Linked DNA regions of Pelodiscus sinensis. The protein of the gene in region 1 purifies or fractionates together with the protein of each later gene. This does not show direct contact. Links are inferred from orthologs where the notes say so. Each region holds a gene or a part of one and is shown on either strand. Other genes may lie near its edges.

Evidence for each region.
Region 2: the proteins of EIF2B3 (region 1) and EIF2B1 purify together in Homo sapiens (affinity purification with mass spectrometry; 7 studies listed by BioGRID and IntAct, counting the BioPlex papers as one, with this or other methods). This does not show direct contact. The link is inferred for Pelodiscus sinensis from reciprocal best matches to the Homo sapiens genes EIF2B3 and EIF2B1.

Annotation. Positions count from the first base shown.
Region 1 is NC_134719.1:1,353,276-1,369,739, reverse strand, and holds the start of EIF2B3 (translation initiation factor eIF2B subunit gamma), read left to right. Parts: upstream 1-9,710; 5' UTR 9,711-9,838; intron 9,839-10,574; 5' UTR 10,575-10,584; coding exon 10,585-10,732; intron 10,733-16,464. Other genes in the region: E3 ubiquitin-protein ligase HECTD3, read left to right, coding at 147-231. UniProt on the Homo sapiens protein: Acts as a component of the translation initiation factor 2B (eIF2B) complex, which catalyzes the exchange of GDP for GTP on the eukaryotic initiation factor 2 (eIF2) complex gamma subunit.
Region 2 is NC_134725.1:31,214,483-31,230,237, forward strand, and holds the start of EIF2B1 (translation initiation factor eIF2B subunit alpha), read left to right. Parts: upstream 1-9,398; 5' UTR 9,399-9,519; coding exon 9,520-9,532; intron 9,533-9,736; coding exon 9,737-9,838; intron 9,839-14,365; coding exon 14,366-14,502; intron 14,503-14,803; coding exon 14,804-14,920; intron 14,921-15,501; coding exon 15,502-15,614; intron 15,615-15,755. Other genes in the region: GTF2H3 (general transcription factor IIH subunit 3), read right to left, coding at 3,188-3,351, 3,979-4,085, 8,452-8,531, 9,279-9,369.

The DNA.
Region 1 (16,464 bases):
CACAAAAGCTGGGTTCCGTTCCCGGCTCTGGCGCTTGGCTGTGCCTCGGTTTCCCCCAGCGTCCAGGGAGGCTGAAGCCGTGGCTTAGCAGCGCCTGGCTGGTCCCGGCAACCCGCGGGGCGGTGACAACGGCTCTTCTTTTCCAGCGCCAAGGTGTGCGAGGAGAAGCTGCGCTACGCGGCCTACAACTGCGTGGCCATTGACACGGACATGAGCCCCTGGGAGGAGTGACGCTGATGGTCCCAGGGACTGTTCTGCACTGATTTCAGTGTGTGTGGTGAATAAACCCCCGGTGTCGGCTTGGCTCCGGGGCAGGGCCAGAACCAGCCCGGCTCTCTGGGGCCTCGGCTTCCTGAGGGGCAGGGCCAGCGCTGAGCCGCTAGCTTAGCCCCGCGTCTCCTTTCACCCGCGCGTGCTCCACCTGCCCCGGGAATGCAGCCACCTCTGGGGTGCAGCCCGGCAGGGGGTCTGCAGCCGCACGGCAGGCCGTGGAGCGACGGGACAGCCGGTTCCAGGCCGGCTCCAAGGGCCGCCCTCCTGCCCCGCTCGGCGTGTGATCAAACCCGCTGCACAGGGATCCGCGCAGCCCCCTTGTTTCCCAGGCCGCGTCCTGCCGCTGCTCCCGGAGGGGCTGGGGGCGTGTCCACCCCCGCAGCCCGGTGCCACGGGGCGTGTCGTGGGGATCAAGGCCACGGAGCCCCCAGCGTTCCTGCCCCTTCTCCACAGCCCCCCCTTCCTCTGCAGAGGGACCCCGCCTGGGCCAGGCCCTGCAGTTCACCACTGTGGCCAGCAGGTGTCACTTCAGGCCTGCTGCAGCCCCTGCCCCATGTCCCCCAGGCCTGATCTGGGGCAGTGCCCCCCGCGGCCAAAGCCGAGCTGCTCCATGGCACCATCTAGCCAGGCCCCCGCCCTGCCCTGCCCTGCCCTGGCTGCGGGGGGGTCACAGTGCAGCTGGCTGCCTTTCCCGGCGGGGGGGGGGAGTCCTGGAGCCCTCAGGCCAGGCCTGCGGGGGGGCGTGTCCCTTGTGCTCTGGTGCAGGCGGGTTCAGCTGCTCCCTGGGGGTCGGGAATGGGCAAGAGCAGCACGTGGGGCTCAGGGCTCCTGGGGTCCCGGCTCGGCTGTGCCGTGGTTCCCTCTTCTGTCCCATGGGGCTGCTGCCGGGGGTTGGGCCCAGGCCTGCGTGAGGTGCTGGGAGCTCCCAAAGGCTGGGCTGGTACAGGGGCCCCCCCAACTGCCGGACCACCCCGGGGTGCTGTCTGCATGCCCCTGGCACAGGGCAAGGCCGGGCCTTGGTCGGGTCAGTGTGTCAGCAAGGGGCCAGCAGCCCCACAGGGCCCCTCAGCCCCCGGCCGTGCCTGGAGGGTGTCTGGGGCTGCTGGCCTGGGAGCTGCAGGGCTCCCCTCACCCCCTGACAGCTCCCCAGCCACCACCCAGCCCTGTGTGCCGGGGTCGTTAGCAGCTGCCCTGTGAGCTCCTGCCCGGGGGTCAGTGAACCTCTGGGGGGGTGAAGCGCCCAGGACGCGGCCCTCTTGCCGTGGGCAGTGGTGCTGAGCTGGGGGGGAAGGGCACTGGCCCTTTGGCTGCCCCGATCCTGGTGCCTTGCCCCCGCCTCCTTTCTGCTCTGCTCCTGCTGAAGCACCAGCCGGGGCCACGGGAGGGCACGTGCGTCAGCCCATTACCTCTGCTGCCAGGCTGGGCCCAGCCAGCTGCTGCTGGCAACACCCTCCTAGCTGGAATCCCGGTGCAGAAAACCCCCCGGTGCCTCTCCCCGGCCCGGCTCCCGCAGCTGCAGGGGGGTCTGGCCTGCTCCCTGGGACTGCAGTCCTCTTGCCAAAGCCGCCAGGCCACCCACGGCGGCGCTAGATGCCAGGAAGGCTGCTGCTGGCACCAGGGCCCTGGGTGGGGCTGGGAGGGCTGCCCGTGCCGAGTGAGTAATGTCCCACACAGAGCGTTCCCAGCCCGACAGCTCCCAGGCAGCCAGTGGCCGAGGCTTCCCCCCAACCTGCCGTGGGGGCCTGCCCGTGCCCCGAGAAGGGCTGGGCTACCTGGGCATCACTTGGCCCTGGGTGGCACGTCCTGCTGCTGCTCTGCACCGAGCCCTTGTGGCCAGCAGGGGGTGCTGCACACTGTCGCGGGGGTGGCTCCGGCCCCTGGGCTCCCCCCGTCCCAGCTCTAATCCAGACGCCGGCCCCTCTGTGCTAGGAGCTGCTCGGGGCCGGGCCCTGTAGCTATGGAGGGAAGGGGCTGGGGGCAGGGCCCGGCACAGTTCAAAGGAGCAGGCCCCCCCTTGGAATCCAGCCCCATGTCCCTTTCGGCTGAAACGGGCTTCTCCGTCACCTGCGGCCTGCCCCCTTGGCGCCCCAGTGCTGCGTGCTGGGAAGCAGCTGCTGGGTCCCACCCCAGAGGGGGCTGCATTTCTGTGCTGGCTCTTGAGCCGGATGGAGAGGGGTTGCTGGGCCTCGCTGGGCCGGAGAGGTGCTGTCTGGGTGGGAGACCGCTGGGGAGGGGTCTTGCTCCCCAGGCAGAGTGGATTAGGCTGTGACCAAGCCAGGGGCCCAGGCTCCGGGCCGTGTGGGGCGGCAGAGCGGGGCAGGTGTGCTGCAGCCCCAGCTCTTGCCTGGAGGGGGCGCCCTGGCAGGTGATGCCAGCGCACGGCTCCCTCTGTGACACCGCAGGGCCCAGAACTGCCTGAGCCGGGGGGGATCCCGAGGGCAGCTCCCCCTATGGGCAGTGGGGTGGGCACAGCGGGGCCCGGGGGAGGCAGGAGTGGCTGGGGGGAGGGGATATTTGCCTCAGTGTCTCCAGGGTCAGTGCTGCTCTGTGGGTGCAGCCGGGCAGCAGCAGGGCCTGCGCTGTCAAAGGGACCCAGGAGTCCTGTGAGGCCCCTGGCTGGGGACAGCTGGGGGGCGGGGAGCTGCCAGCCCGAGAGGGAGGACTGGTCGGGTTCTGCTGCAGCACAGGGAGGGTTAATGGGTCTGGGTGCAAAGGGCTCCCCAGTGTCCTGGGGGTGGCCAGCATGGCCCCCAGGCCCTGGCGGGGGGCAGCGGCTGGCAGGGGGGATGGGGTCTGCGTGCCCCGGCGCTGTGAGCTCCCCGGGCCCGTGTGCCCAGACCACCCACAGGCAGGCGGCTGCTCCGCTCCCCCAGGCAGAGCAAAGTCCGGCAGGTCGGGTCAGGCCTGCAGCTGGGTGAGCGGGGGAGGCAGAGCGTGAGCGAGTGGGAGGGCACAGCGGGGCTGGGAGGGGGGGCTGGTCCCCTGGCAGCCCAACCCCTCCCTGGGGTACAGCCAGCTCCACGGCAGGCTGGAGACTGGGGTACAGCCTGTGGGCTTTTCTGCTCCATGGGCTTCCCCCCGCAACACCCGACGGGCAGAGCCCTAAGCACCCTGCAGCCAGAGAACAGCTCCCCGCTTGGGCTCGCCGGCAGCTCCTGTGGTGTCCAACACACTAGCCACACGAGGCTGTTTGGCCGGTTGTGTGGGGCTAGGTGGCTAGAATAATAACTCTAGACCCACCGACAGGCTGACAACAGTCCCCATTTCTGTGCTCACCAACAGCCTGACAACAGCTCTGCCCTGGCCCGATCCAGGACTCTCAGCGCTGGGGCCTCCAGAACCAGCAGCGGGTCGCGGAGGCTGGATGCGACTCCGCGAAGCCAGCGGGCTCCCGGTCCCAGCTGGAGCCAGTCACTCTCCTGCACTGGCTGAAGCGCAGGTCTGAGCCACCCTGCTGTGCTCCCTGGCTGGACAAGGGACCAACCCTCGGCCACTGAACGCCGCGGTGCTGCCGGGTGTACCTGGTGCCTCTCCTGGCAGGAGCTGCAGCTGTCCAGCAGCATGGCAGAGACCCGGCTGAGGGCGTTGTTGGCTAGCCTAGGTGCCCAGCTCCTTGGGTGCTGGCGCTCTCCTACCGCTGGGGCAGCTGCCCAGTGCATGGCATTTCCACAGCACCACTAAGGGCCATGCACTCGGACAAGGCCGTGCGGTGGCCTGCCTGGCTGGGAAGCCCTGGCCCAAGGGCTTGTTTGGGACAGTTACGTTGAACTCTGCAGCCGATACACAGAGGAGCTGCAGTAGGGCAAATCCTATGCCAGCTGGGGTTTCGTAGGCACACAAGCGCTTGCTTGTTCCTCCTAGTTAGCGTGTGTGCATGTGTGCAGAGGTGTGTTAGTGCATGCAGTGGTGCGTATGCGGGTGCAGAGGGGTGTTAGTGCGTGCGGTGGTGCGTATGCGGGTGCAGAGGGGTGTCAGTGCATGCGGTGGTGCGTATGCGGGTGCAGAGGGGTGTCAGTGCGTGCGGTGGTGCGTATGCGGGTGCAGAGGGGTGTCAGTGCGTGCGGTGGTGCGTATGCGGGTGCAGAGGAGTGTTAGTACGTGCGGTGGTGCGTATACGGGTGCAAAGGGGTGTTAGTACGTGCGGTGGTGCGGGTGCAGAGGGGTGTTAGTACGTGCGGTGGTGTGTATGTGGGTGCGGAGAGTGTTAGTGTGTGCGGTGGTGTGTACGCAGGTGCGGAGAGTGTTAGTGTGTGCGGTGGTGTGTACGCGGGTGCGGAGGGGTGTTAGTACGTGCGTATGCGGGTGCGGAGGGGTGTTAGTACGTGCGGTGGTGTGTATGTGGGTGCGGAGAGTGTTAGTGTGTGCGGTGGTGTGTACGCAGGTGCGGAGGGGTGTCAGTGCGTGCGGTGGTGTGTACGCGGGTGCGGAGGGGTGTTAGTGCGTGCGGTGGTGTGTACGCGGGTGCGGAGGGGTGTTAGTGCGTGCGGTGGTGCGTACGCGGGTGCGGAGGGGTGTCAGTGCGTGCGGTGGTGCGTACGCGGGTGCGGAGGGTTGTACATGGGTGCAGTAGGGGCCCAGCCCCAGCGTTGCACAAATGCCAGGCTCCGTCGCGTGACAGTTCTTCCCTTTCCTCAAATCTCCTTTAAAGAAACAGCGAAGTCGCTGTGCCCTGTTCATCTTACGGGAAGGGGCTCGGGGGGCTACTGAGCTGAGCGCCCCACTGGCCATGTCGTCGGCTGCGTGTGGGTAGCGTGGTGTCCAGCACTACGTGTAGGATTTCCCCAGCCCAGCAGGAACGGTCAGTGAATGCCCATGGTTGTGACCTGGGAATTCCCCTCTCCTCCCAGCTCCGGAGGTGGCCCCTGCCACACACACAACGTTCCAGCCACCACAACGTTCTTGTCTTGGAGCCTTGTTGCCATGCGCGGCGGCGTTCCTGCTGCGCCGCGCCCCAGAGCCAGCTGCATCGAGCTCGGCTGAGTTCCCTTTTGATGTTAATCACGTTTTTCCTATGAATCCTACAACAACCCGGGCTGCTCCCCAGGGGGCCAAGCGGGAGACTCCTGAACAAATTGGCCGCTGGAGACAAGGCCCAGGACGATGTATAAGAGGCACAATTGTGGTTCTGTGCCCCAGTTCCTGTTGCGGCTCGTCAGGGCCGCATCTGGTTTGGGGATGGCGGCTGGATGGGTGGTGTGTTTCACGCGCCAGGTGTGGGCTTCAGGTCTCCCCCCCCCCCCCATCAGCGAGACAGCTGCTGTTCTTCCAATTTCACACACACAGCAACAACCCGCCTCCTGTCGCACCTCAAAGGGCCCCTTTGTGTGTGGCAGGGCCGGGGGACGCCGCTGGGGGATGACTTATGGGAGCTAATAACAGTGGGAGGCTCAAGACAGGCCCCAGCCAGCCAGGTGACTCAGCCCAGCTGGGCTGTGTCACCCTGGGGGCTTTAAGGGAGGAGCAAGGCCTAAGACAGGGATGAACAAAACCTCTGGAGGGGTCTTCTCCCTCCATCTGCCTCCTGCCCTCCCCACGCCCAGAGTGCCGGGACCAGCACACTGGCGCAGCAGCGTCTCCTTGGCTGTGCGGGGGCACTGCGCCTTGCTTGGCCCTGGGGCCGCTCAGCTGGTACCTCACCTGGCTCCAGCTAGCCAGGCTCTCAGAGCACGAATGAACAGAGCGGGCAGAGCCAGCGCCCAGGGATGGGGCCGTCGAACCCATGCGCGTGTTTAAAAGCACCCCCGCTGAGTGCCCAGCCTGCTAGGTGGGTGGTTGGCCTCCCGATGTTGAGCTCAGTGTAACCAACGCAGCAACACCTGCCTGAATAGGAATAAGAGATCCTCCGGAAAAGGGAGAATTTTCCGGACAATCACGTCTAGACTGGCGCTTTTCTCCGGCTTATCCCCAAGCCGGAAAAAAGCGGCAGCCATGTAAATGCAAATGCCGCGGGGGATATTTAAATCCCCCGCGGATTTGCAATTGCGATGTGTCTCATTAGCAGCCCTTTTCCGGAAAGGGATGCCAATGTAGACACAGCCCCAGGGAGTGTTGACTCTGAAGCCTAGCGATGGCAAATGTAACAATTACTGTTGTTATCTATTTCACCAGCAGTCCTTTTAGCGGAAGCATCCAATTGCTGTGGGCGTGTGGGCGGAGCTAGTGATTGTGGGTGGGGCTAATGGGCATGTCCCTCTGGACAACACCCTGGAGAAATGAGCCTCGTCACGGGCCTGGATCGACTTGCTCTGTGGTTCCATGGATGAGCAAGTGGAAGAACCGCAGAGTCTCAGCCCCCTCTGCCAGCCTCGAACCTTGCACCCTTTACGCGCTAGTGTGGCGGCAGCAGGGTTACGAGGGGCGGCCAGTTTGGCTCTGAAACCCAGCACTGGATGTTTCGTGGCCTCAGTCACCAGCCCGCAGGCCCTGGCCTTGTCCCTTGCCATGCCAACTGGAAGGGCAGCTGCACCTCAGTGGAGGAGTTTGGGGTCAGAACTAGGGGACATGCTGATGTTTGAGCACTTGCAGCCATTGCCATCCTGCTTTATCAGCCGACACTGACAATACTCATGTCCCCTGGGAGCTGGGGGGAGAGGCAGCCCTGCTGCCCCCATTTCACAGATGGCAAAACTGAGGCACCAGCTTCTGCCTGCCTGTGTAAACACCTGGTAGCTGCCAGAACCTGGGTGGCCTCATATAGGCTGAACTGCGACCAAATTTACCCAGGAATCGAGGCATATGCCCAGGGTGATGCAGGGCCAGAAGGCTACCTCTGCCTTGCCACTGGAAGAGGCTGGTGCTGCCCAAGCCACGGGCAGATGTGGCACAGCGGCAGAGGGACTCCGGGACAAGTGCTGTCCCAGAGCCATTCAGCGCAGGACTGGGACTTGCAAGGCACAGTTGGGACTGTCCCCCCAATCAGAGACACGTGCTCACCCCCCATCCATGGTTTCCTCTAAGTCATGGGTTCCCAAACTGGGGGGGGGGGCGTGAAGAACTTCTGGGGGGGGCATGAGGCAACCCAGCCCCCCCATCAATTCCCCGCCCCCAAGTTGTGCTGCTATTTTTGGTTGTTTTTTTTGCTCAACAAGTTTTGCTGCTATGGGGGGGGGGGGTGAGTGTTTCTCAAAAATCAAAAAGGGGGCGTGATGCCGATAAGTTTGGGACCCGCTGCTCTAAGCGGCTACATACAAATAGTGCTGCAGCTCACAATTGCAACAGTCCCGTATTGCCTGGCGTGCATGGTAATGGAAAGCACTCCTACGAGAATCAGTAGCGCAAGATCGAAGCAGCTCTTAGTGGGAATGGGAGATCCCTCTTTTGCCCCTCGGGGACCCGAGAGGGCTCCAGCGGGCGAGTGCAAGGAAGTGAAACACTGAGTAAGTGAACTTAGCCTCTTAGCACTTACATGACCTAAGCGTATTTCATGGAGCATAGATTGGTTACTAACATGTCAGCAATATAATTGTTGGCCTAGCATGGTTAGTAAGACCTTGGAATACCCCGTTTGGCAAGGAGTGCAAACCAAGCCTTTCAGTCTTTGGAATGTCCTGACTGCCCTTGACTTGGCCATAGGACAAGGAAAGCACAGGCAGGGAGAGTAAGGGGAATCCCCATCAAATGAGATGAATAGCTTTGTAATTAAGCAGTAGAGAAACGTTATATAATCTAGTGGGTAGCGTGGGATTTTACATACAGTCCTAACTGTTAGGAGGCTGTGAATTAGAGGAGGGGGTGCGGGTAAAAGCAGGGAGTAGATAAAAGTGGGGTGTCCTGGCTGTAAAACGAGTGTGTTGCAAAGAAGCAACAGATAATTTATCTGTATAGCCTTTGTCCATGTAACTCATTGGCCTGTTATCCCATTGATCTCTGGGGTGGGGTATTCTGTAGCTATGCTGCAGTAAACTTGTTCCTTGGCTTTGAATGTGGAGTTAGCAGGGGGTTCTGTCTGCTTTGCTAAGTTCAAAAGGCAACCGGGGAGCTTGGTTGGTGGTCCCGGAGACATCCTTCCAAATCAGCGAGGTCTCCGACTGGCAGCAGCAATGCCTCTGCTGGGAGAAGTTAAGCCAGTTATAATAATTTTAGCTCTTGTCGGGAAGCTCTGGCGTTTTCCCAGAGTCCTACTGGTTTGGACTTGAAAATATTATTCATCTGTGGAAATAGTTTCTATTGGTACAGCAGCACCGATGCTTCTTAAATGGAGTGCCTTGGGGGAAAAAATGGGGTTCCCTAGCCAGGAAAGAAATCTGGGGTCCATATTCTGTGGTTTAGATCAAATTGGAAGCAGACCTCTGTCTGATCACGAAATATTTCCAATTCCACATGCAACTTGTCAAATAGGAATTTGGGAATAAGAGCAGTTCAAGAGTAGGGTGACAAGTGTGAAAAGTTAGAAATGAGATGGGTCCTAATAGTGCAAATATCAGACCTGTCCCACTAAAAATGGGTATTTCGGAGAACAGGTGCCCTGCAAAACAAGTGTTCGGCGTGATGAATGGGGGCTCAGAGTGAAGAGCAAAGTCCAGGGAATGAGGGTGTCTAAGGACACTTGGCCAGTGTCTCCCGACAAACTCCATCGTGCCATGCACTGGGGGGGACTCTGCCCCCCTCCCAGAAATACACGCAAGTTGCTGTGGAGATAACGGTGCTGCCTGCATGTTTTGACGCTGTGCTTTTTTCTTTGGTGATCGGCTAGTCCTCCTGCTGAGGGAGAAATGCTCAAAACCAAGAGCCCCCGGTGGCCCTAAAGCTCATGCCCAAAAGGCAAAGAGAGAACCCAAACTCTATCATTTACACTAAGCTATCCCACTGGGACTAGGCTGATCTCACAATCACCTGCGGCTGCTGGGGTTGCCAGGTGTCCGGTATTCACCCGGACAGTCCGGTATGTTTGCCTCCTGTCCGGTAAAAAATTCAGAGAATACCAGACACCTAAAATGTCCGGTATTTTCTGATTTTTTTCCCTGGCCAGGAGGTGAAAATGCCGGGCACCTGGCAACCCTGCAAACACTCAGCCTCCCCCCCAGCCCTCTCCTGGCTCCCAACACCCCCAGCTCCCCTGGTGCCCCCCCCCCTTTTTTCCCCTTCAACTGAATTTTTTCCCGGTGGTTCTTTTTTGGGGGGGAGGGGGGTTCGGTATTTTTGTTGCAACCATCTGGCAACCCTAGCGCTGCCCAGGATCTCTGCAAGGGGGACCCCCCCCATTAATGGCAGCCTGCGCATCCCTGCCCGGCCACTGGAGGGGGCTGGCGAGCCCCATCTGCCCCCAGCCACGGTGCTGCCTGGCTCTGCTCCCCCTGCCTGCTCCCCAGCGCCTGCAGGAGGCTCCTGGGATCGATGGCTCTGTGCTCCTCCCCGTCCCCGCCGCCTGCTGCAGGGGGATCGATGACTCCGTGCTCCTCCTCAGTCCGGGCTGAAGTCCCCCCTCCCCTCCGGGAAGATAAATCGCTCGATGGCTCGGCGCTCTCCGCCGATCGATTCTCTCGGGGCTCGCCGGGTACCAGCGCAGGCGCAGTACCTGCCTGGGCCGCCATTGCTGTCCTGTCAGCCGGCGGAGAAGGCACCTCAGGTAGCGGCTGCTCCATAGAGCCGGGCTCCCCTGGCTGGGGGGCCGGGCCGGGCTCCCCTGGCTGGCTGGGGGGGGGGGGGAGAGGGGGGCCGGGCTCCCCTGGCTGGGGGGGGGGGGGAGAGGGGGGCCGGGCTCCCCTGGCTGGGGGGGGGGGGGGAGAGGGGGGCCGGGCTCCCCTGGCTGGGGGGGGGGGAGAGGGGGGCCGGGCTCCCCTGGCTGGGGGGGGGGGGAGAGGGGGGCCGGGCTCCCCTGGCTGGGGGGGGGAGAGGGGGGCCGGGCCGGGCTCCCCTGGCTGGGGGGGGGGAGAGGGGGGCCGGGCCGGGCTCCCCTGGCTGGGGGGGGAGAGGGGGGGGGCCGGGCTCCCCTGGCTGGGGGGGGGGCCGGGCCGGGTTCCCCTGGCTGGAGGGGGCGGGGCCGGGCGCGGGGGGTTGCTATCCCGTGTGCTGCGCGTTGGGCCCAGGCCAGGCTGTGGCGCTAGTGCTGGTCACCCCCCCCCCCCCCGCTGTGGAACTTGCCCGTTGCCCGCCCCCCCCCGGCGGTTCCGTTGCGCGCGTGTCCCTGGACGAACGTTCAGTAAACGGCCCCGCGAGGAACCGCCGCGAGCTGTCGGGGGCGGGAGTTTGAGGGTCATGCCCCCGCCGAGGAAGAAGGGCGCTGTGGTGGGGGGGGGGGGGCCGCGCTCCGGGATCGCTTTATCCTCTGATGAGAGCCTGGTGCCTCTGCCGCTTCCCTGCAGAGCTGTCGAGATGGAGTTTCAAGCGGTGGTGATGGCAGCTGGTGGGGGATCCCGCATGATGGACTTGACTTCCAGCATCCCCAAGGCCCTCCTGCCAGTAGGCAACAAACCTTTGATCTGGTACCCCTTAAATTTGTTAGAGCGAATCGGATTTGAAGGTGAGAGATCCCTGGATTTAATGAATCCCTTCTGCTGTCAGTGCAGGGTAGCCCCACGGGACACACAGACCTGGCAAAAATTCAGGAGGTTTTTTTGAATGTACAGTTGTCATGGAGAATATTGAGGATGATTGTAAGCATAAGGTCGACATTTGTTAATTTTAATTTTCACAATTGTATAAAGTTATGGGTTTGCAACTTTTGTTAATCTAGTTAAATGTAAACAGTTTTGAGAAATTATGGAGAGCGCAGGTAGTAAATACTTAATAATAACAGTAAGCATTGAGAGTCAAAGACTTAAAGCTTTATATGCATTAAAACAAATAGTCATCATCACACGTCAAAATATACAAAGTACATATCGTTACATCAAAACTCTTATAAATTCTCAACCAGCATTGGCCTTATTTTGTCTAACTAGCTATAAAAGTATTTCATAGACTACTAGAACTGGAAGGGGTCTCGAGGTCATTAAGTCTAGTCCCCTGCATTCGTGGCAAGACCAAACATCATCCAGATCATTCCTGATAGATGTTTCTGTCACCTGCTCTTTTATTGTCAATGGGAATGTGTTTTGTTAAAGTTGTAGGTGTACAATGAAATTGGCATTTACGAGTAAAATAGAATCCTTCCAAGTCTAATAGTTACTGAATACATTCATAGATGTAAAGGCCAGAAGGGGCCAGTTGGATCTTGTCTGAGAATAGAATTTTAAAAAATTAAGAAACAACTAGTTTTGCTGCACTTTAAAGACTAACAAAATGTGTAAGTGGTATCATGAGCTTTCATGGGCACAACCCACTTCAGTTACCCCTATATTGAGCCCAATATCTTGTGTTTGACCGAAGTATTTCTTCCAAAAAGGCATTCCATCTTGATGTTTAGGACATCCAACAATGGAGAAACGCCACTTCCCTTGGTAGTTTGTTCTAGTAGTACCCTCATTATTCAAAAATTGCGTCTGATTTCAAATTTGATTTTTCTGGTGTTTTCCAACGGTGTTTTCTTGCTCTATCTTTCTCCAATAGATTAAAGAGCATCTTGGTACCTGGCATTTTCTTCCCATTAAAGTACTTATACACTGTAATCAACTTGCTTGTGAATCTTTCTGGTGAGATAAAGAGATCGAGTTCCTTAAGTCTCTCACTGTACATCGTTTTCTCCATCCCTCAGATAATTTTGTGTGTCTTCTCTGCACTTTCTCCAGTTTTTCATCATTCTTTTAAAAATGTGGAAACTAGAACTATACTCAGTATTCCAGCATCTGTTTCACCAGTGCTCTGTAGAGAGAGAAAAACACCTCTCTATTTCTGCTTGTTGTTACTCTATTTATGTATCAAGGGTTGCATTGGCCCGTTTTGGGTTCGGGCAGGGGTGAGCAATAAACCGGAGCCAGGATTAGCTCCTGGTGGGCCACTGTCACTTCATTTTACTTGTGCGTCTGCAGATACGGTTGCTTCCAGTTCCTGTTAGCTGCAGATCGCCATTCTTGACCAATGAGAGCCGTGGGAAGCAGTGTGGACAGGAACATCACTTCTCGCAGCTCCCATTGGCAGGTAACGGTGATCTGCTGGAAACAGACATGCAGGTAAATGAAGTGCTAGTGGCCTGCCAGGGGCTAACTCTGGTGAACGGAGTCCAGTTTGTGGGCCACATGTTGCCCACCCCTGCCTTTGGCTCTTACGTTGAGTTATCTGTTATGGTTCCTAAATCCTTTCCAGAGTCGCTGCTTTCTGGCATACAGTCCCCCCACTCTGTAGGTAGGACTTATGTTTTTTGTTCTTGGTTGTCTAACTTTGCATTTGGCTGTAATAAAATGAATTTTATTGGAGTGGGCCCAAATCATTAAGCAGTCCAGATTGTGACAGCCTTATCGTCTTTCCTGTTTACCATTCAGCCAGTCTTTGTGTTAGCAGCACATTTTTATCCGCCGCAGTCTTGTATGTCCTTTCAGATCATTGATAAACATGTTAGACTTCCATGCATTTAACACCTCATATACATCAAAAGTGAAGTATGGGATATGTCCAGCCCACTCAGTTAGCCTCATTAGCACCAGTACTACAATTGACAGGTGCTTTTTTTTTCTTTCCCCTTCTTTTTCTGTTATAAATTCTGGGTTTCTGTCATTTCCACTCCAGCTCATCTGAAAAAGTGGATTTTGCCCACAAAAACTCATGATACTACAGGTTGGACCTCCCTGGTACGGCACCCTCGGGACCTGACCTGCCCCGAATCAGGGAATTTGCCGGAGCAGGGAAGGTTCCCTGCCACAGTCTGCCAGCTGTGAGGGCCCCCTGACTACTCCCAGCACCAGCCGGTCCTGCTGCCACTGCCCTGGCTTGAGGCTGCCTGAGGGCTCCAGCAGCCCGCACTGTCATGGGCTGTCATAGGCCCCAGCTCCAAGCTGCGCTGCACTGCGCTGCCACCGGCCCAACCCCGGCCTCGCTGCCAGCTCTAGCCCTGGCCCGCTGGTGGGGATTGGTTCTGGTCCTGCTGCCACGGGCTCCTGGGGCTGTTGAGGGCTCCTCCTCCTGCAGGCTGCCCGAGGCTCTGGAACAGGCCCCGTGCTGCCACAGACTGCCGGGGCTGCTGCCAGTCCCGGTCCCAGTCCTCCTGCCATAGGCTGCTGAGGGCTTAAACTCCTGCCCTGTGGCAATCTGCAAGCTCTGGCCCCGTACTACTATAGGCCATGGCATGCCCAGTCCTGCACTGTGGGTGCTGCCCCGACCCGGTCTCAGAGCTGCAGGGGGATGCTGCTGGCTCCAGCCCCACTGCTGCAGGCTGCTTAGAGTTGCTGCCAGCCCCAGCCCTTTCCCCTCCTGCTGCTTCAGCCTGGCCCTGCTTTTGGATAGCCTTCCTGCCACTGGTGTGCCGGGCTCTCTGAACCAGGAACATCTGTGGTAGTGCTGGATCACGGATGTTGCCGGACCAGAGATTGCACCTCCCAAAACCAGCAATCTGTGTGTATATTTTTGTTAGTCTCTAAGGTGCCACAGGACTATTTGTTGTTTTTAAAGCTACAGAGTAACACAGCTCCCCCTCTGAGACACGTTAAGATGAGTTAGGCCTGACAGGGCTGATGGCAGCAGCACTCCACTAGAAGCATCCCCCTTTAGTCGTGATTTCCCCATTGGCGAAAGGATTAATGGACACAAATCAGATATTCTAAATGGTAACACACAGAGACCTGTTGGGGAGCATTTCATCTTGCCCGGGCACTCATTAATGGATCTCAAAGTGACTATACTCTTACAAAGCAATTCCAAAAACCAGCTGGAGAGAGACGCTGCGGAACTTGCCTTCATTTGCAAATTTGGCACCTATAATAAAGGTTGGAACAAAGACATGAACTGGTTAGGCCGCTACATTCAACACCCTAATGACATCCGAAGCTCACTGTCGGGCACTTATAGCTCACTCCATTAGCCTCATTTAACATGGACACTCTTAATTGACAAGATTTATTTTTCCTTCTCTTTCCCTCCCCATCTCCTCTCTTTCTGCTATTTATTTGTACCTCTGGACCCCTCGCTCCATTGATCTGAAGAAGTGGCCCACAAAAGCTCATGACACTACCTACATTTTTGTTAGTCTCTAAGGTGCTGCAGGACCGTTCACTGTTTAAGTTTCTTCAGCTCTGTTAGCCAGTCCTTAATCTATGTTATGTGTGTGGTATTGTCCTAATTTCTTAATCCAACTGTCCTCTAGTGCTAAGTCAAACATTTTACAGATGTCTCTATGTTGTATCTAGGAAATTACCCTAATCAACCGAATGCTAATTCTCATCCAAAAAATCAGGTTTGTTTGATCAGACCTTTTGTTTCATAAAACCATGCTGTCTGGCATTAATTATTTTCATCCTTTAATTCTGTATTACTTTTCTTTTATATTTCCAGCCAGTTTAGATCTCTTGATATCATTCTACTCTTGCCAGTGTTCACAGGTCCCAGTATATGAATTTCAATAACTTGAAATTCAACCCTCTTTTTCTTTCATCCAAAGAATTTATGAAAATGTCAAGTGAGACTGAATGTACTAACAACCCCTGCTCCACTGGCCATTTCACCTCAACTCAAGACCTTGCCATTTATCACTTTCCTTTCTTTAGGTCCTTTAGCCAGTTTTGAATCCAAGGAAGTTTCATTTTGATTTTTGAGAATTTTTGTGGGGCGGGGGGTGGGGGAAACCGGGTCAAGTGTTTTACATCAAACCAGTTGCAATTCCATGCTCCTCTCATGCTCTGGCTTTCTAATTCTAGTAAACAAAATAAATCCGTTTTGAAAAGCAGCTCCCAGTTACTGTTACCAAACTAGGGATGTGACCAACTAGTTGGCTAGTCAGTCTCCCTCCCTTGCTGTCTGTCAGAAAGAGGCAGTGGGGGAAGGGAGGAGGAAGAGAAGGGGGCGCTTCAAAGCGGCAGTGCTGTGTGGAGCCTGGGGTCAGACACCTGACTCCATGCAGCGCTGCTGCTTTGAAACGCCTTGTGTAGCCTGGGGCCAGCTGGGGAGTCCTCCCCCCCCCCCCTTTCTTTCCCCGCCTCCCCCTTGCTGCCTCTTTCTGGCAAGACTAGAACTGCTTGAATACCCCGTTGGCCTATGCTCCCCACAGAGCTTTCACCTGTTGCTACACTTCAAAAGCGGAGGCGCCTTTATCAACTAATTGAATAGTCAATGCAAATTATATTGACTATTCGATTAGCCAGTTAATCTAAATTTAACATCCTTATACCAAACTGCCTTGTTTTCATTTCCTCCATATCCTTAATTAGTAAATCCAGGAGGGTTTCTTTGGTTAGATTATTTTCATATTGGATCATTCTTTTGTGTGTGTAATCTGGGGACATTTCTGATGCCTGTATGGTTGTAGTGGTTACCTACCGTAAGTCCTGGGAAAGTCTTCAGGAATATAGTATTTCATGGGTTTCAGTTACTTCAAGAAGTTTTGCTTCTCTCTGTCCTTCGTTCTTGGATGTTAGTAGTAAATGCCTGTTGCAGTTGCTGTTTTGCTATAGTCTTTGTTCCTTTATCTTCACTACTTTCCCACCAGTGTTCCCTCTGTTTTTTTCCATCCATGTGCAGAATAAACTTCGTTATGTGCACCAAAACGTGTGTATGTGAACCACTAGTTGAAACACATGCTGCTGGCTGTGGACCGCCCACTAATCAGCTGGGTGGCATTTGAATCTCTGGTGGCTGCCCAAGTGTTCAGCATACTGAGAATATTGTTTTCCCCGGTATCTGTGTGGCAGTGTTAATGTTACCACCTATGGCTTCATCCTCCTATGTCCTTTCTGTCTTTTCTATCTAGGTTGAACTCATCTGTGTTGTACTCAGCTAAACTATTCCATTTCCCTCTCAGGAAGGTGCTAAGAGAGTTGATTTAACTATTGCCTTTCACAGTGTAGTTGGTATTTTTCCATAGTGAGCTGTGCAAGCTGACACATAGGGGAAGAAAGTTAACTATGGGTCACTCATTGCTAAAATTACTGACACTTAGGTCCACTATGACGGGTATTTAAGGTGTAAGAGACTTTATCTGACATGTAATTTAAATAAATCGCTAGCTAGCAGTGTCAGGAAATATATCCTGCTCCCCTCTCAATTTCATTTGGAGTCCCTCACGAGGAAGAAAAACGCTCAAAAACTTACTTGTGTCAGTCAAAAACTTAATCCTCTAGTTGTGACATTTATTATTCTGGAACTATTTTTTTGCGGGAGTAGAGGAGATTT
Region 2 (15,755 bases), on another chromosome or scaffold:
CTTATGTTCCGATACATCTGTTAGTCTATAAGGTGCCACAGCACTCCTTGTAGCTTTAACCTGAATTGTGTCTTGAGCAAACAACATTAAAACATAGGCCTAAATAGAGGTTAAATAATTCAGTATCCCACTGACCTGAAGCAAATTCTTGCACATTAATAAACTATGGAGTGATGGAGAATAAACTTCAGAAGAAAAATGCAAAGAAGCTTCCATCAGTTGCTAGGGCTCTTACCAGTGATTTTGTAATTATTCATATTAGGCTAAGGGATTTCCTTTATTTCACTGAGATCTGTAGACAGGCATCATGACCTTAATTATTTCAATCTTTATTAAATAAATCCTTTAATTTTGTTTTTTGTTTCTTTTGCCCCTCCCTCCAGCTTCATTAAAGCTTTCTGGTATACAGCTGCCTAGAATAGGACAACATGTTTCATGTGTGTTCTAACCAGCTGTACACCTGTCTTAGCAACCCAGCTCCCAAGTACATTATAACCACTAGCCAAGCCCTGTCTCATGGCTTCAGTGCAGCGGGCTGAGAGGCGGCAGAAACAGGATGATGTGGCAGTAATGTAGGGCAGGCAAGTAAGCGGCATGAAGGGGGGAGAGGTAGGGCACAGGAAGACCCGGGGGACATTGACTTGGGGGGCCAAGGGAGAGATGGTAGAGCGCAGTAGTCAGGGATTTACCACCAGCTCCACTGCTCACAGCATCTCCCACTTCTTTTTTTCCTTAGGACCAACGTGCCACTTGGAGAAGAACATAAAAATGGCCATACTAGGTCAAACCAAAGGTCCATCCAGCCCAGTATCCTGTCCGCCGACAGTGGCCAATGGCAGGTGCCCCAGAGGGAGTGAACCGAATAGAGTTCTCTCTCTTGCTATCCATCTCCACCCTCTGACAAACAGAGGCTAGGGACACCATTCCTTATCCATCCTGGCTAATAGCCATTAATGGACTTAACCTCCATGAATTTATCTAGCTCTTTTTTAAACCTTGTTATAGTCCTAGCCTTCACAACCTTCTCAGGCAAGCAGTTCCACAGGTTGACTGTGCGCTGTGTGAATAACTTTCTTGTATTTGTTTTAAACCTGCTGCCGATTAATTTTATTTGGTGGCCCCTCGTTCTTATATTATGGGAACAAGTAAATAACTTTTCCTTATTCACTTTCTCCACACCACTCATGATTTTAAATACCTCTATCATATCCTCCCTTAGTCTCCTCTTTTCTAAGCTGAAAAGTCCTAGTCTCTTTAAGTCATTCATTGTGCCACGGCAGCAGCTACTCAATGGACTGTGAGGCACTGCCTCCTGCTGTACTCTGCTGCCCCTGCTATCCCCACCTGCCAGACAGGCCACCTGCAGGACACAGGAGCAATGCAGGGCCCCAGGTGCATTGTACCACTACTGCTGCTAGCTCCTCGCCATACCTGCTGGCCACTTGCTTGGGAGGTACCAAGTCCCGCCACTTATATTTTTTTCCCGCACTTTCCATTGTGTTGCTTTTCAAGCCTCATGTCCCACTTTTGTGCAGGAGGAATATGTGATGCTTTTCACATCCCACTTCAGTGCAGGGGTGTGGGAGAAAGAAACAGAAGCCATCAGCAAAGCCCTACCTACCCTATTTATTCTTCCCTCCCCCACTCTGCCACCACACAGCTCACCAACTGACTTACTGGCAGCCACTTGCATTTTTATTCTGCACGCCACCATTGTACTGCTTTTCAAGACACATTCCACTTGGGTGTGGGGGGGAGGCGTGCCACTTTTCACATGACACGTGGGGGGAGAAGGGGGAGTCGCGGAGGCCTTCCAGTGTATTCCTGTGTATTCTCCAACGTTCTCTGTGACAAATGGCATGATGGACAACTCTCCTTTTATAATAATATAGATTATAAAGAGATAAAATGTGGAACTTCATCTCCTTAGCAATGTCCTTTTCACATAACATTGCAAACTAGTATCCCATGACATCTAAGAAAGATAAGAGGGAAGGTCCTCTCATGGAGTGATAACTGGTTAAAAGATAGGAAATAAAGATTAGGAATAAATGCTAAGTTTTCAGAGTAGAGAGAGGTAACTAGTGGTGTCCCGGTCTGTATTGGGACCAATTCTATTCAACATATTCATAAATTATCTGGAGATAAGGATAAACAGTGAGGTGACAACTGCTAAAAGTATAAAACCCAAAGCAAACTGTGAAAAGCTTCAACGGGGTCTCACAAAACTAGGAGATTTGGCAACAAAATGGCAGATGAATTTTAATGCTGATTAATGCAAAAGAGTGCATGTTGGAAAACTTAATCCCAACTATACATATAAAATGATATAGTTGACATATAAAATTAGCTATTACCACTCAAGAGAGAGTTATTGGAATCATTATGGACAGTTCTCTGAAAACATCCATTCAATGTATACCAACAGTCAAAAAAGCAAACAGAATGTTGGGAATCATTAAAGGAATAGACAAGAAGACAGAAAATATCCTACTGTGTCTATAAGAAATCCATGATATACTCTCATCTTGACTATTACATGCAGATGTAGTCATCTCGTCTCATCTCAAAAAAGGATCTTGGCATTGGAAATAGTTCAGAAAAGAGGAACTAAATTATTAGGAGTATGAAACAGCTGACATATGAGAAGAGGTGAGAAAGACTGGATTTTTCAGCTTGGAAAAAATATGATTAAGGGGAGAGAGGAATATGATAGAAGCCTATAAAACCATGACTTATGGAAAAAGTGAATAAAGAAGAGTGTTATGGGAATGAGTAAATTACAAGAACAAGGTGTCACCAAATGAAATTAATAGGTAGGTTTAAAACAAACAAAAAATAAATATTTCTTCACACAACACACAGTCAACCTGTGGAACTCCTTGCCAGAAGACGTTGTGAGGTCCAAGACAATAACAGGGTTAAAAAAGAGCTAGATAAATTCGTGGAGGACAAGCCTCTGTTTGTTATAAGCTGGAAATGGGTCATAGGGAAAGGATCACTCTTTCACTCTAGGGCACCTGGCATTGGTTATTGTCAGAAGACAGAATACTGGGTTAGATGGACCTTTGGCTTGACATAGTATGCGCAGTCTTATGATATTTTAATAGCAATTTAAAAAAAGTAATGAGGATGTGGAACCAAATTAATCAAAATGGCTATACTTTTTAACAAAAGATCATCTTACTTTTTGTCATCAGGTCTTTAATTTCCTCTGTGATTACTTCATTTCCTGCTGTTAATAATTCGTATTTACCATCTTTGCTGCCAGAGCAAACAGATTCAACGAAACTACCACCATCTCCAAAGAGATCTGCAAATGCCCAGTGTTTTCCAGGGTACAAGAAACGACTAAAAGCGAGAAAGAGCAGCATAGTATTAATAATTTGTTTTTAGCAAAATAGATGAACACCCACAAATTGAACCACTCAAACAAGATTTCATTCCTAATAATTCTTGCTGCCCGGGGACACTAACAACCTAACTACATAAGAACCATGTTTACAAAACCCTAAATGCTATAAGCCCCACCAATATTAAATACTTTCTCTTTGATAATCATCCTGTTGGGAACTAGTATTCAGAAACCATCTTCCCCTCATTTCTTAACACAGCAATCACTGTGTTGTTTTGACAATCTCCAGGAAGGGAACTTGTACCTCTTTTGTTACCAGTCTCTCTCTCTCCATTTTGAAATAAAGATTATTTTTAATTTCAAAAGCTGTTTTTCTTCACCTTTTTCTTTTCATAATGCCTTACTCTTATTTTCTTTTGCATTCAATAATCACTAAAACCAGAACCCTCTCTTGTCTCCTGCTGTTTTTACTAATTTGTTTTCTGAAGAGGGTATTTAATAGATCATACATTTTACCCTTGGTTTGAATTACTCTCTTCAGCACACTGAGCTATTCAAAACAAACATGTGTGATGGGAAGTTTTACAAATAAAAATTACACTGATATAAGAAAGTTACTGTACCTTTCTTGTGTATGACTTGCTATTACAGCAAGTTTGTTGTTCCGATTCATAAATAGATGTGAATTTCCCATCACCATTACTGCATCCAGGCATTTTGATAATGTAAACTGTTCAAAAAAGAAAAACAAGAAAGGACATTGTGAAAAGCTCAGAAATATAGATATACCATAGGAGCCACCACATTTAAATAAAATAACTTTTTAAAAATCTGCACATAAGTAATATTTTCACTTAGGTTTGGAATTTACAAGGGAGAGAACATAAAATTCAAGAAACAGACAATCTCTACAGGAGGTAGGAAAGTGATTGGAAAATGTTTTTCCATTTCTTTATATGTGCATACAGAGACACAAATGGAAATTAAATAAATATTATAAGAGAGACTGACACACTCCAGAACTGCTAATATTCATTGTGATACTCCGGAATATGTTTGATATTGGAATATCTTTTATATAGGGTTCAGCATCATCAAAGATTAACTAGTTAACAAGAACTCTGTGATATAGGCATTATTATCCCAGTTTTAAGGATAAGGAAACCAAGGAATAGAGATTTTACAATTTTCAAGCGTCCTCTAATCAAATATGCATGTCCACCCTGAGATACTAACAGTTTGTTTTTCAGTGGTGCTGAGCAATTTATACTGATTTCAATTAGAGTTTTGAGTGTATAACACTCCTAAAAATCAGGCCCAAGATGTCTCAATTCAAGGATCTTAAAATTACTGGCCAATTTTGAAAATATCAGACTAAGTTACTTGATCAAAGCTTACAGAGCAGGTCAGTGACAACAGCTGGGATTAGAATTCAGAAGTACCCAACACTCTTATCTTGTATTCAGAAAAAAATTAAAAAACAACAAATAGTCCAACAACACCTTAGACACTAACAAACAATGTAGATGGTATCATGAACTTCTGTAGGCACAACCCACTTCTTCAGATGCCTTATATTCGGTTAGACAAAATGCTGCAGCGCAAATCAATCCAGCATATCATGTATTTAAAAGGGCATTAGACACAACAGTGAGAGATAAAAAGGCATCATTTAAAAAGTCAAAGTTCAATCCTAGCGAGGAAAACAGTAAGGAACAAACTCTGTCCAATTTAAGTGTAAAAATATAATAAGGAAAGCCAAAAAGAAGTTTGAAGAACAGCTAGCCAAAAACTCAAAAAGTAATAGCAAAATGTGTAAGTACATCTGAAGCAGGAAGCCTGCTAAACAACCAGTGGGGTCACTGGACGATCAAGATGCTAAAGAAGCATTCAAAGATGATAAGATCATTGCGGAGAAACTAAATGAACAAGGGAGATCCAGTGGATAGTGTACTTAGACTTCCAGAAAGCTTTTGGCAAGGTGCCTCACCAAAGGTTCTTAAGTAAAGTTAGTTGTCTAAGAGGGAAGGTTCTCTCATAGATTGATAACTGGTTAAAAGATAGGAAACAAAGGGTAGGAATAAATGGTCAGTTTTCAGAATGGAAAGAGGTAACTAATGCTGTTCCCCAAGGATCTTGTACTGGGACCAATCCTACTTAACCTATTTATAAATGATCTGAAGAATAGGGTATACAGTGAGGTGGCAAAAGCTGCAAATGATATTAAACTGCTCAAGATAGTTAAGAACAAAGCAGACTATGAATAGCTTCAAAAAGATCTCCCCAAACTAATTGATTGGGCAACAAAATGGCAAATAAAACTGAATGTTGATAAATGTAAAGTAATGCACATTGGAAAAAATAATCCTAACTATACATACAATATGTTGGGGACTAATTTAGCTATATCCACTCAAGAGAGAGATCTTAGAATCATTGTGGATAGTTCTCTGAAAACATCCACTCAGTGTGCAACAGCAGTGAAAAAGGCAAAAAGAACATTAGGAATCATTTTAACGGAATAGAGAATAAGACAAGAATATCTTATTGCCTCTATATAAATCTATAGTATGCTCACATCTTGAATACTGCGTAAAGATGTGGTCACCTCAACTCAAAAATGATATATTGGCATTGGAAAAAGTTCAGAAGAGAGGAACAAAATTATTAGGGATTTCAAACGGGATTAAAAAAATGGGACTTTTAAGATTAGAAAAGAGGAGACTAAGGAAAGACAGGATAGAGCACAGCTCAGCAACCCACAGTATGCATGCCACAATCGGCATGTGAGCTGATTTCCCGTGGCGCATGTGGTGGGAGTTCAGTCCCACCTCTCCCCCTTCATGCAGCCAGGGGCGTGTGCTCTGGTTTCAGCCTCATTCACACAGCTACTGGCTGGAACACGAGCTCTGGCTTCCTGCTGGAGGGAGGGAGCGGTAGAGGCATGCACATGTCCCTGGGGCTGCCCCTGCTCAGCCTGTGCATGCAGCTTCCAGGAGCTAAGGGGTTAACCCTCACCTCTTCCTGGCTACAGCCTTCTTGCTTTGAGAGGGGGTAGGGCTGGGTGGCCAGTCACACATGGGGCACCAGGACCCAGTATGCTCCCCACCGGCTGTGTGCAGAGATGAGGAGCCCCTTCTCCAGAGCACTTCTACACCCAGCCAGGCTAGAGCCAGCCCTAGGCAGCACCAGGCTCTGCCTGCCCCAGCCTCAGACCTGCAGCCTGCAGGCAAAGAGCTGGTCCGGGCAGGGAAGAAATTCTACTCCCTCTGCCTCTCCTCACTCCAGCACGGCTATTCTGTCCCGCACCACCTCTCTTCACTCCAGCACTGCTACCCTACTTGAGTGCACTAAGGGCACAAGGATGTGGATGAAGAAGGGGGGTGAAGGAAGATCCAGGGGCAGGATGGGAGGGTGCAGAGATTGCACTGAGGGGCATGGGGCAAAGTAGGGGATCAGGCTGCAGGGAAAGAATGGGGGGCCAGAGGTTGCACAGGATACTGGACTTGATGGACCATTGGTCTGACCCAGTATAGCTGTTCTTACATTCTTAAGATATTACTGCAACTATTTTATGATGATTCAACAAAAATTAATTAGGGGTATGAAACATCTTCCATATGATGAAACTTTAATAAGACAGGGACTTTTCACTTGGAAAAGGGATGACTTAGGGTGATGTCTATAAAATAATAACTAGTACTGAGAAAATAGATAAGGAAGTGCTATTTACCCCATTTCATTACACAAGAACTATGGGTTACCAAATTAAATAGGCAGTAGGTTTTAAAACAAATAAAAGGAAATATTTCTTCACACAATTACGAATTTTTTGACAAAGGATGTTGTGAAGACCAAGACTATAACGGGTTCAAAAAAAGAACTAGATAAATTAATGGAGGATAAAGTCCATCAATGATTATTACCAAGACAAGCAAGTTTGGTGTCTCTAGAGCAGGAATGGGAAATAATTTTGATGGGGGGGGCCACTCCAAGAATTTGGAAAGTGGTCAAGGACTGCACTCTTCCATGACATTAATGGATGACGTGCAGAGTCTAGGATGGAGGTTGGGTGCAGAAGAGAGCTTGGAATAAGTGACTGGGGTGCAGGAGGAAGTGTGGGGTCTGGGAAGGAGTTTGGGTGAAAGAGGCGATGGTGACCTGGGGCTCTGGACTGGGGTTTGGATTTTAACCTAGGTCAGAAATGGGTTGTTACCTGGGATGCAAGGGTTTGGGATATTACCTAGGACAGGGGTTTTGGTTGTGACCTAGAATAGGAAGGGACTGTAATCTGAAGAAGGGGATTGGGGGAACATAGGAGGGTGGGCAAAGGGTTTGGGTATGTGGAATAGAGGGCAGGAGCGGGGGGCAAAGTGTTGGGGGAGAGGCTGGGGTGCCTGAGGCAGGCTCTGGTCAGGACACTTACTTAGGTGATTCCTGGCCAGCACTCCAGTGGATTTCTCAGGCAACCTGCCTGCCTGTCCTCCCCAGGCTGCAGGGCCGTGTGTGTGTAAATAACTACAAGCCAGAGGGGAGGGGGCATGGTGCTTCATGGCTGCCTTTTATTCAAACAGGCAACTCCCATTGGCTGGTTTCTGGGATTGTTCTGGGGATTTGGGAAACACCTGAAGGCCCTCCCCACTCCTCCCAGCTCAGAGTTTTGGGAGAGAAACGGCCTGGCAGCCACTTTTCTAAGCAGCGTGCAGGTGGGGCGAGGCAAATAGGGAGTCTGTCTAGGGTTTCTCTGGGCCGGATTTTGCCCAGGCCTGCCCTACCATCTGTTAACCAGAACTGGGAATGAGTAACATAGAATAGATCACTTGATGATTACCTGTTCTGTTCATTCCTTCTGGGGCACGTGGCACTGCTGGAAGACAGGATACTGGGCTAGATGAACTTTTGGTTTTACCCAATATGACCGGTCTTATGTTGTGTAGTATTATTCTAATTTTGTATTCAAAAAGTATTTCACAGTTTCTCTTCAACAAATGCACTGCAATTTGGATTGTCATTCATTTAAAACAGAACTGTTAAAAAATTACAGAAAAGTCTTCTGGAAAACTACATTGTGACTGATGCTGGTCAGGAAGCCTTACCTCTGATTGTCCTAGTGCTTTCTTCCCCCACCAGATAGGGTTGGTGTCAACGATGACGACTAAGAGATTTAGTTCATCATCTAAAAAAAGCAATAATAATGCATATGTTTGAGAACAGACAACACAGCAGCTCCTTTGGAAATATGGGAAACTTAACATTTAAAGGTCTATAGGCAAAAATACCAGATGTTTTAACACTCATTTAGCTAAGAGTGCATAAGGGTTTGCAGGATCTTGTTTTTATATTGGCCTGTTTTAAAATTAAATACACTTTTATTTAATAACATTTTAGTCACACACACAACAGCAAAAAAAAGTTAGCACACAGTCAAAGATTCAGCATAATTGCAGTTTTTCCATGTGTTTATTGCCAAATATCCATGAACCACATGGAACAGGAGTAGAACGCATTATGTTACAGTAATGAAGACTGTATTATTGGAAGCCGGATAGGAGGCAGAGGCACTACAGAAATGCATGGACCGGGAGCCTGACATAGGGCTTCTTTTCAGCGTTTATCGGTTTCTCTCTCAACCCCTCTGTTCACAGATCGCACGCAGGTGCCGTTTCCAAACCCAACGCCTGTGGGGCGTAGGCAGCGTGGCTGCCCCACACAAGGGAAAGGCGGTGCTGGCTGCGGAACTCAGCGGGGCTCGCGGGCAGCAGCTGCATCCGCCGGACGCAGCCCCGGGCACGGCCGGGAGGACGGGGCCGAGGGACCCCGCGGCGGAGAGAGGAGGCAGCAGAGAGGCCTCGCACCGGGCCCTGAGGAGAGCGCGCGGGAGACGCCAGCCCCGCTTCCGGCGCGGCGCCTGGCCAGGACTCACCTGCGCTCATAGTGCCCAGCCTCAGGCAGGCGAAGAGCGGGCACCGGCCGGACTTTCGCTTCCGGCGCCTCGAGACGATGTCACTGCTCATTGGTCGCACGACGCGTGATGCTGCAAGAGCCGGCCGGAAGTGGTGCCCCCGCGAGCAAGCGCCGGGCGGGGACAGCGGCTCCGCGTGAGCGGCGGGAACAGACTCGGCTCTTGCGGCTGCCGGGGGCCCGGGCCGCCTGCCGCTGACACCATGAACGACGCAGGTAAGGAGGCCCGGGGCCCGATCCGGGGTGGGGATTAACCGCCCCCTCGCCAGAGCCGCGGCGGACACGTGCCATCCCCCTCCCGGCCTGAGGCTGCGCCTGCCCCGCTCCCTGGACCGGAGGGACCAGACCTGCCCAGCCCCAGGTGGGGCTTCCCCGTGGCGGGCGGGTCCCTGCGGCTGATGGGCCCCGTTTCCCTTCCAGAGCTGATCGAGGCCTTCAAAGCCCAGATGCGGGAGGATCCTGACGTGGCCTCTGCCGTGGCGGCTATCCGCGCGCTGCTGGAGTTCCTAAAGCAAGACAAAGGTACCGGCCCAGCTGCTCTGCTGGGCGAGCGCGGGACTCCAACCCGGGGCCCTGCCCAGCAGCGACCGGGAGATGGTCACGTAAGATGCGCACTGAAGTGCTGAATCCGTCCAGTAGAGGCCAGTGCAATACACATCACTGACCACCTTGCACACAGCTGTCATAGGCTTGGACGGATTTTGTTTATAAACCTGTTTCACCCTACACATTAGGAATGCAATAGTGTATCCGATTAACTGATAAACAAAAGCTTATAGGTTAATGCTATAGACATGCATTTCCCTCCCCTCAGCCTTGCCAGTCAATTTTTTAGCAGCCCTGTCAGTAGTCCAGCTCAGTCCTGGCTTGCGGCAGGTCCGGGACCTACCCGTGCTGTAACTCAGCATTTAAAGCGTATTAGGAGCTGGGTGAGCAGGCAGCCTGGATCATTTTCATCTCGCACTGAGTCCGGGAGCTCAGACCCTCTTGACAGAGGCAGCTGCTGCCCCACACTGCTACCTGTTTATCAAAGGCAGCAGCACAGGGTAACAGCCAGCCAGTCCGCAAGGGAAGCTGGTTTTTAAACTGGCTTCCCTCATGGATGAGTTACTGCCTGGTACCCCACGCTGCTTCCTTTGATACAGAGGCAGCAATATGATGCCAGAGCACATTGGCTGCTGGCCCCACCCCCAAAGACTATATACTTGTTGACTAACCAGTAAGTCATGAGGTTACTCGACTAGTCAGTTAATCGATAGTTAACATCCCTGGTCCGCATATCAACCAACCAAAAAAGGTTTCCATTGATAATTATTAACCTTTAAAAAGAAAAATGCTGCCTGAGAACTTATTCAAGGACAAACTTAAAAAACAACAAATAGTATAGTAGCACCTTAAAGACTAACAAAACATGTAGATGGTATCATGAGCTTTTGTGGGCACAACCCACTTCTTCAGCTGAATGGAATATTAGAAGTCTGGATCCAAGCATAAATAAGGGCAGGGGAAGAAGGGGGGAAAAAAAGAGAGAGAGAGACAGTGAGTAAATATTTCAAGTGTTTACAAGAGGCTGATAAGAACAATTAGCACCTCCATTGTTTAAGTCATTAGGATGTGGAAGTTAGTATGCCAGCCAATGGATGTCCCATTTCATACTATTTGCATAAGAATTACACTTGTAAATGAAGTTAAATTCCAATTCTTCCCTGTGTATTTGGCTTGTGGAATTGGCCTGAAATAACACCGTGACTTAGAGATCCATTAATGAATGTCCAAGCAGATGAAAGTGTTCTCTAACAATTTTTTGTGTATTGCCTTTTTGAATATGTGATGTGTCCATTTTCCTGTAATGTGGAAACTGGCCAATATACACTGCAGTGGAGCATTGTTAGCATTTGATGGCAAAGATCACATTAGTGGATGTGCAGTTAAATGAGCCTCTTGGTGGCTGATGTGGTTGGGTCCAATTGATGAAATTGATAGTATAGATGTGTGGGCAGATTTGGCACCAGGGCTGATTGCAGGGGTGAGGTCCAGGATGATTATGATGGAGGTAAGTTGCATGCTTACTGGAAATAATTTGTTTAAGGTTAGGGGGTTGTCTGTAGGCAAGGATTGGCCTTTCCCCCAAAGCCTCTGAGAGTGAGGGGTCATTTTCCAGGATGGGTTGTAGATTGTTGATAATGCTTTGGAGAGGTTTAAGTTGTGGACTGTAGGTGATGACAAGAGGAATTCTCTTGTTTTCTCTTTTGGGCCTGTCTTGAGGTAGTTCGTGTCTGGGTATTCTTTTGGCTCTGTCAGTCTGTTTTTTTCAGAGCTACGGGTGGGTATTTCAGTTTTAAGAATGCTCTGTGTAGATCCTGTAGGCGTTTGTCTCTGTTTGTGGGACTGGAGCAAATCCACTTGTAACTTAGGGCTTGGCTGTCAACAATAAATTGAGAAATGTGTCTGGGATGGAAGCTAAAGGCATGAAGGTAAGTGTAGCGGTCAGTAGGTTTCCGGTATAGGGTGGTGGAAATTTGTCCATCATTTAATTGTACTGTAGTGTGAAGGAAGTAGATCCCTCATGTGGACTAATCCAGGCTAAGGTTGGTAGTGGGCTGGAAGTTGTTGAAATTCCTGTGAAATTCTTCAAAGATCTCTTTCCCATATGATGAAGATGTCATCAATATAGCGTAAGTGTACTAGGGGTGAGAGCTGAGGAAACGTTGGTTTAAGGTCAGTCATAAAGACCTTGGCATATTGCGGTGCCATGCAGGTGCCCATGGCTGTACCACTGACTTGAAGATACAGATTGTCTCCAAATGTGAAGTAGTTGTGGGTGAGGACAAACCTCTGTAACCAGGTGTGAAGTGCTGTCATCAGGGATTGTGCTCCTGACAGCCGGTAATCCATCTTCCTGTGGAATGTTGGTATAAAAAGCTTCTGCATCCATGGTGGCCAGGATGGTGTTTTCAAGAAGATTACTGTTTTATAGTTTCCTCTAAGTCAGTAGTGTCTCAAAGATAGGTCAGAGTGCTGGTAGCATAGGGTCTGAGGAGAGAGTCAATATAGCCGAACAATCCTGTTGTAAGTGTGCCAATGGTTGAGATGATGGTTCGTCTGGGATTTCCAGGTTTGTGTATCTTAGGTAGCAGATAGAAATCTCCTGGTCCCACACTACTTTCCACATCCTAATGACTTAACCAACCAACAAACAGTGGAGGTGCTAATTGTTCTTATCAGCCTCTTGTAACCACTTGAAACATCTACTCACAGTAGCTACTCTACACTGCAGGCTTCTTGTACAAGAAGCCTTTTGCGCAAGAGTTTTTGTGCAAAAACTACTTGTGCAAGAGCATGTCCACACCTCAAAGCACATCGCAAAAGTGATGTGCTTTTGCGCAAGAGAGCATCCACACCGTATGGACACTCTTGCACAAGAAAGCTCTGATGGCCATTCTGTGAGTGGCCATCAGGGCAGCTGTGCTTTTTCCCATAGGGGTTTCTTATGCAAGAGAGGTTTTCTCATAGGGCATCTACACTTGCCTTTTTGCGCAATAGCTGTAGCGCAGCAAGGAGTTATGCCTCATAAAAGGAGGTTTACCTACACCAGAGAAGGCCCTCTCTCCTGCTGTTTTATTGTTGATTTACTTGCGCAAAAGCGCATTTGGGGTGTGGACGCCCCATGGGTTTTTGCACAAACAGCTGTTTTGTGCAAAAACCTTGCAGTGTAGACATAGCCTGTCTCTCTTTTTTTTTTTCTTCGCCCCTCCTTTTCTCCTCTCCCCCCTCCTTATTTATTCTTGGAGCTGGACTTCTAATACTCCAGTCATCTGAAGAACTGGGTGGCGCCCACAAAAGCTCATAATACCATCTGCATGTTTTCTTAATCTTTGAAGTGCTTCTAGACTATTTATTGCTTTTAAAGTTTTTCCTGCTACAGACCAACTCAGCTACCACTCTGAAGTTATTTGAAAACATCATTCAATCATTGTCTGACACCCCTGTAATTTCCTGCAACTGAAAACTAAGTTGATAAAAACTGAAAAAGATGCTAAAACTACAAAATATTTGCAGAACTGTGAGCTGCAAATTAAAATAAACCCTAATTAAAATTTTTTTTAATTAGATTCTGCCAAACCTAAATTTGAGACACATCTAATCAAATTCATGGTGTTTCAGATAACTGAAATTCAGAGCTTTGTGGTACTTCAGGTGATTATTTGTTGCTTTTTCAAGAAACAAACAACTGCAGTTCATCTCTGCTTCCAAGATCTTGCCTTTTCTTTTTTACACCAACAAAAATACCCCTGCTCCTGCATTGCAGTAAAAGGCAATCCCTGTGTTTTGAACTACACTGTTTTTTAAAATTCAGAAGAGAGTTAAAGATGAAGGTCTTGGAGCAAAAAAGCAGGCTACACCTTCATCAAAAGTTTGAAGTAAGAAACTTGCCTGGTAGATAATGTGCAGAAATGAGCACATGCTATGAGAAGTGTGCATTAATAATCAAAATCTGGAAAACAGTATTAATACAAGAAAGGTTTTCAAATGTATGCGGTGTTTGTTTCATTAAGTATAATCTGCTTCATTGGATGTGTGTTCGTCTACTCAGAGTGGCTAATCATGGCTGCTGAATTACCTGAATAATGTCAATAACTTGTCCTTCAAGTTACAATCAAAGCACATCAATGAACGGATGGGAGAAGTCAACACTACTTGTTAACTGTGTAGTAGTATTTAATCAATTTTAGTTCCTGGCAGTGATATATGTTTCAGGTGTACTTATATTTTTTTTAAGATTACTGTTATTCTAGAGAAAGTTGGATGGAGGGCAGAATGCAGGTAGAGCTTACTAGACTATAGATTTTATCCAAACTTATGGAATCGGTTGTAGAATTGTTCCATGGTATAATAAACTTCCACTATAATCCTAATACATCGAAGGAAAAATACCAAGTGAGTCCCCCATTAGTGCTATACCAGAATATATCTAAACTTCTGTCTAGCATGTAATGAGTATCTTGTTTTAAAATGAAGTTTGCATTTCTCTCTCTCTCTCTCTCTCAGGTGAGACCATTCAGGGTTTGAGAGTAAATCTCAAAAATGCAATTGAAACTCTGTCTGGTGTTGACTCTTCAGTGGCAGTCTCTTCAGGGGGAGAACTCTTTCTAAGGTTTATCAGTTTAACCTCATTGGAATACTCGGTGAGTTTGTCACCAAATGTAATACTTTAGGGATCAGTGAGGTAACACTTAGTGGTCCCCAACGCGGTGCCCGTGGGCACCGTGGCGCCCACCGGGGCATTTGTGCGCCCACCGAGTGACCAGGGCTGGCCCAAGCCATTCTTGCACCCCAGGCACGCACCGCATGCGCGGTGCCAGCCCCGGGTGCGTGGCACGTGCGCAGCCCTGCCCCTGGGCGCCCAGCAGCTCCAAAAGGTTGGGGACCACTGACTGTTACAGAGTAATCCTGGGCCTTATTTTTTGTTCTTGTTGCTTTTTCCAGGATTATTCAAAGTGTAAAGAAATCATGATTGAACGAGGGGAACTTTTCCTTATGAGAATCTCTCTTTCAAGAACCAAAATTGCAAAACTCTGCCACACATTCATCAAAGATGGTGCTGTAAGTATGAGAGGACCAATTATGCTGTTCTGGGTGTACCATTATTTCTGGTGATGCAAAAAATTGAAAGGTTTTATCATGATCTGTTAGGCAAAACACATTATTTGATGTTGGCTTTCCCAGCTAATGATTTTATTCCTAGGTATCACATTTGCTTATGCTACATATTCAGATCATTTTCTAAAACCCTTTTTCTTTTCCCTCTCTCCACCTTTGTTTCCATACAAACTGATGTTAAGCCAGTGGTCTGGTTCTAAGTGGTTCAGAGCACCCACAAGTACTGGCTTAAATGGAAGTTGTGGGTTCTCAGCCCCTCTGTGTCAGAGCTGCAATAATGAAGTACCCTATAAAGTCCAACTTTCATGATGGCTTAACATTCCATGACTTACAAAAATACAGGAGTTAAATATTGGATAGGTCATCAAAAATATTTACAATCCTTAAAATGTAACATTTTTGTAAGATCTAGGATATAAGCTAAAGTAACTGAAAATAATGTATAGAACACTTGTGCATGATAAATAATTACAGATCATGACAATAACAAATCTTTCCTGAAACTTCTTGTCTTGTTTTATCAGCAAATATTAACTCATGCCTATTCAAGAGTGGTCCTCAGAGTGTTAGAGGCAGCTGCCACGTCAAAGAAGCGTTTCAGTGTTTATATTACTGAATCACAGCCTGATCAAGCAGGGCAAGTATATGTCAAATTTGTCATCTTAATTAGTAAGATACTGTAGAGCTAATGTCCCATTTTAAGAACAGCTTTTACTTATTTCTGAATTATTGAAAGGTAACTATTTCATTGCAAAACATCACATCTCGAGACAGTCTG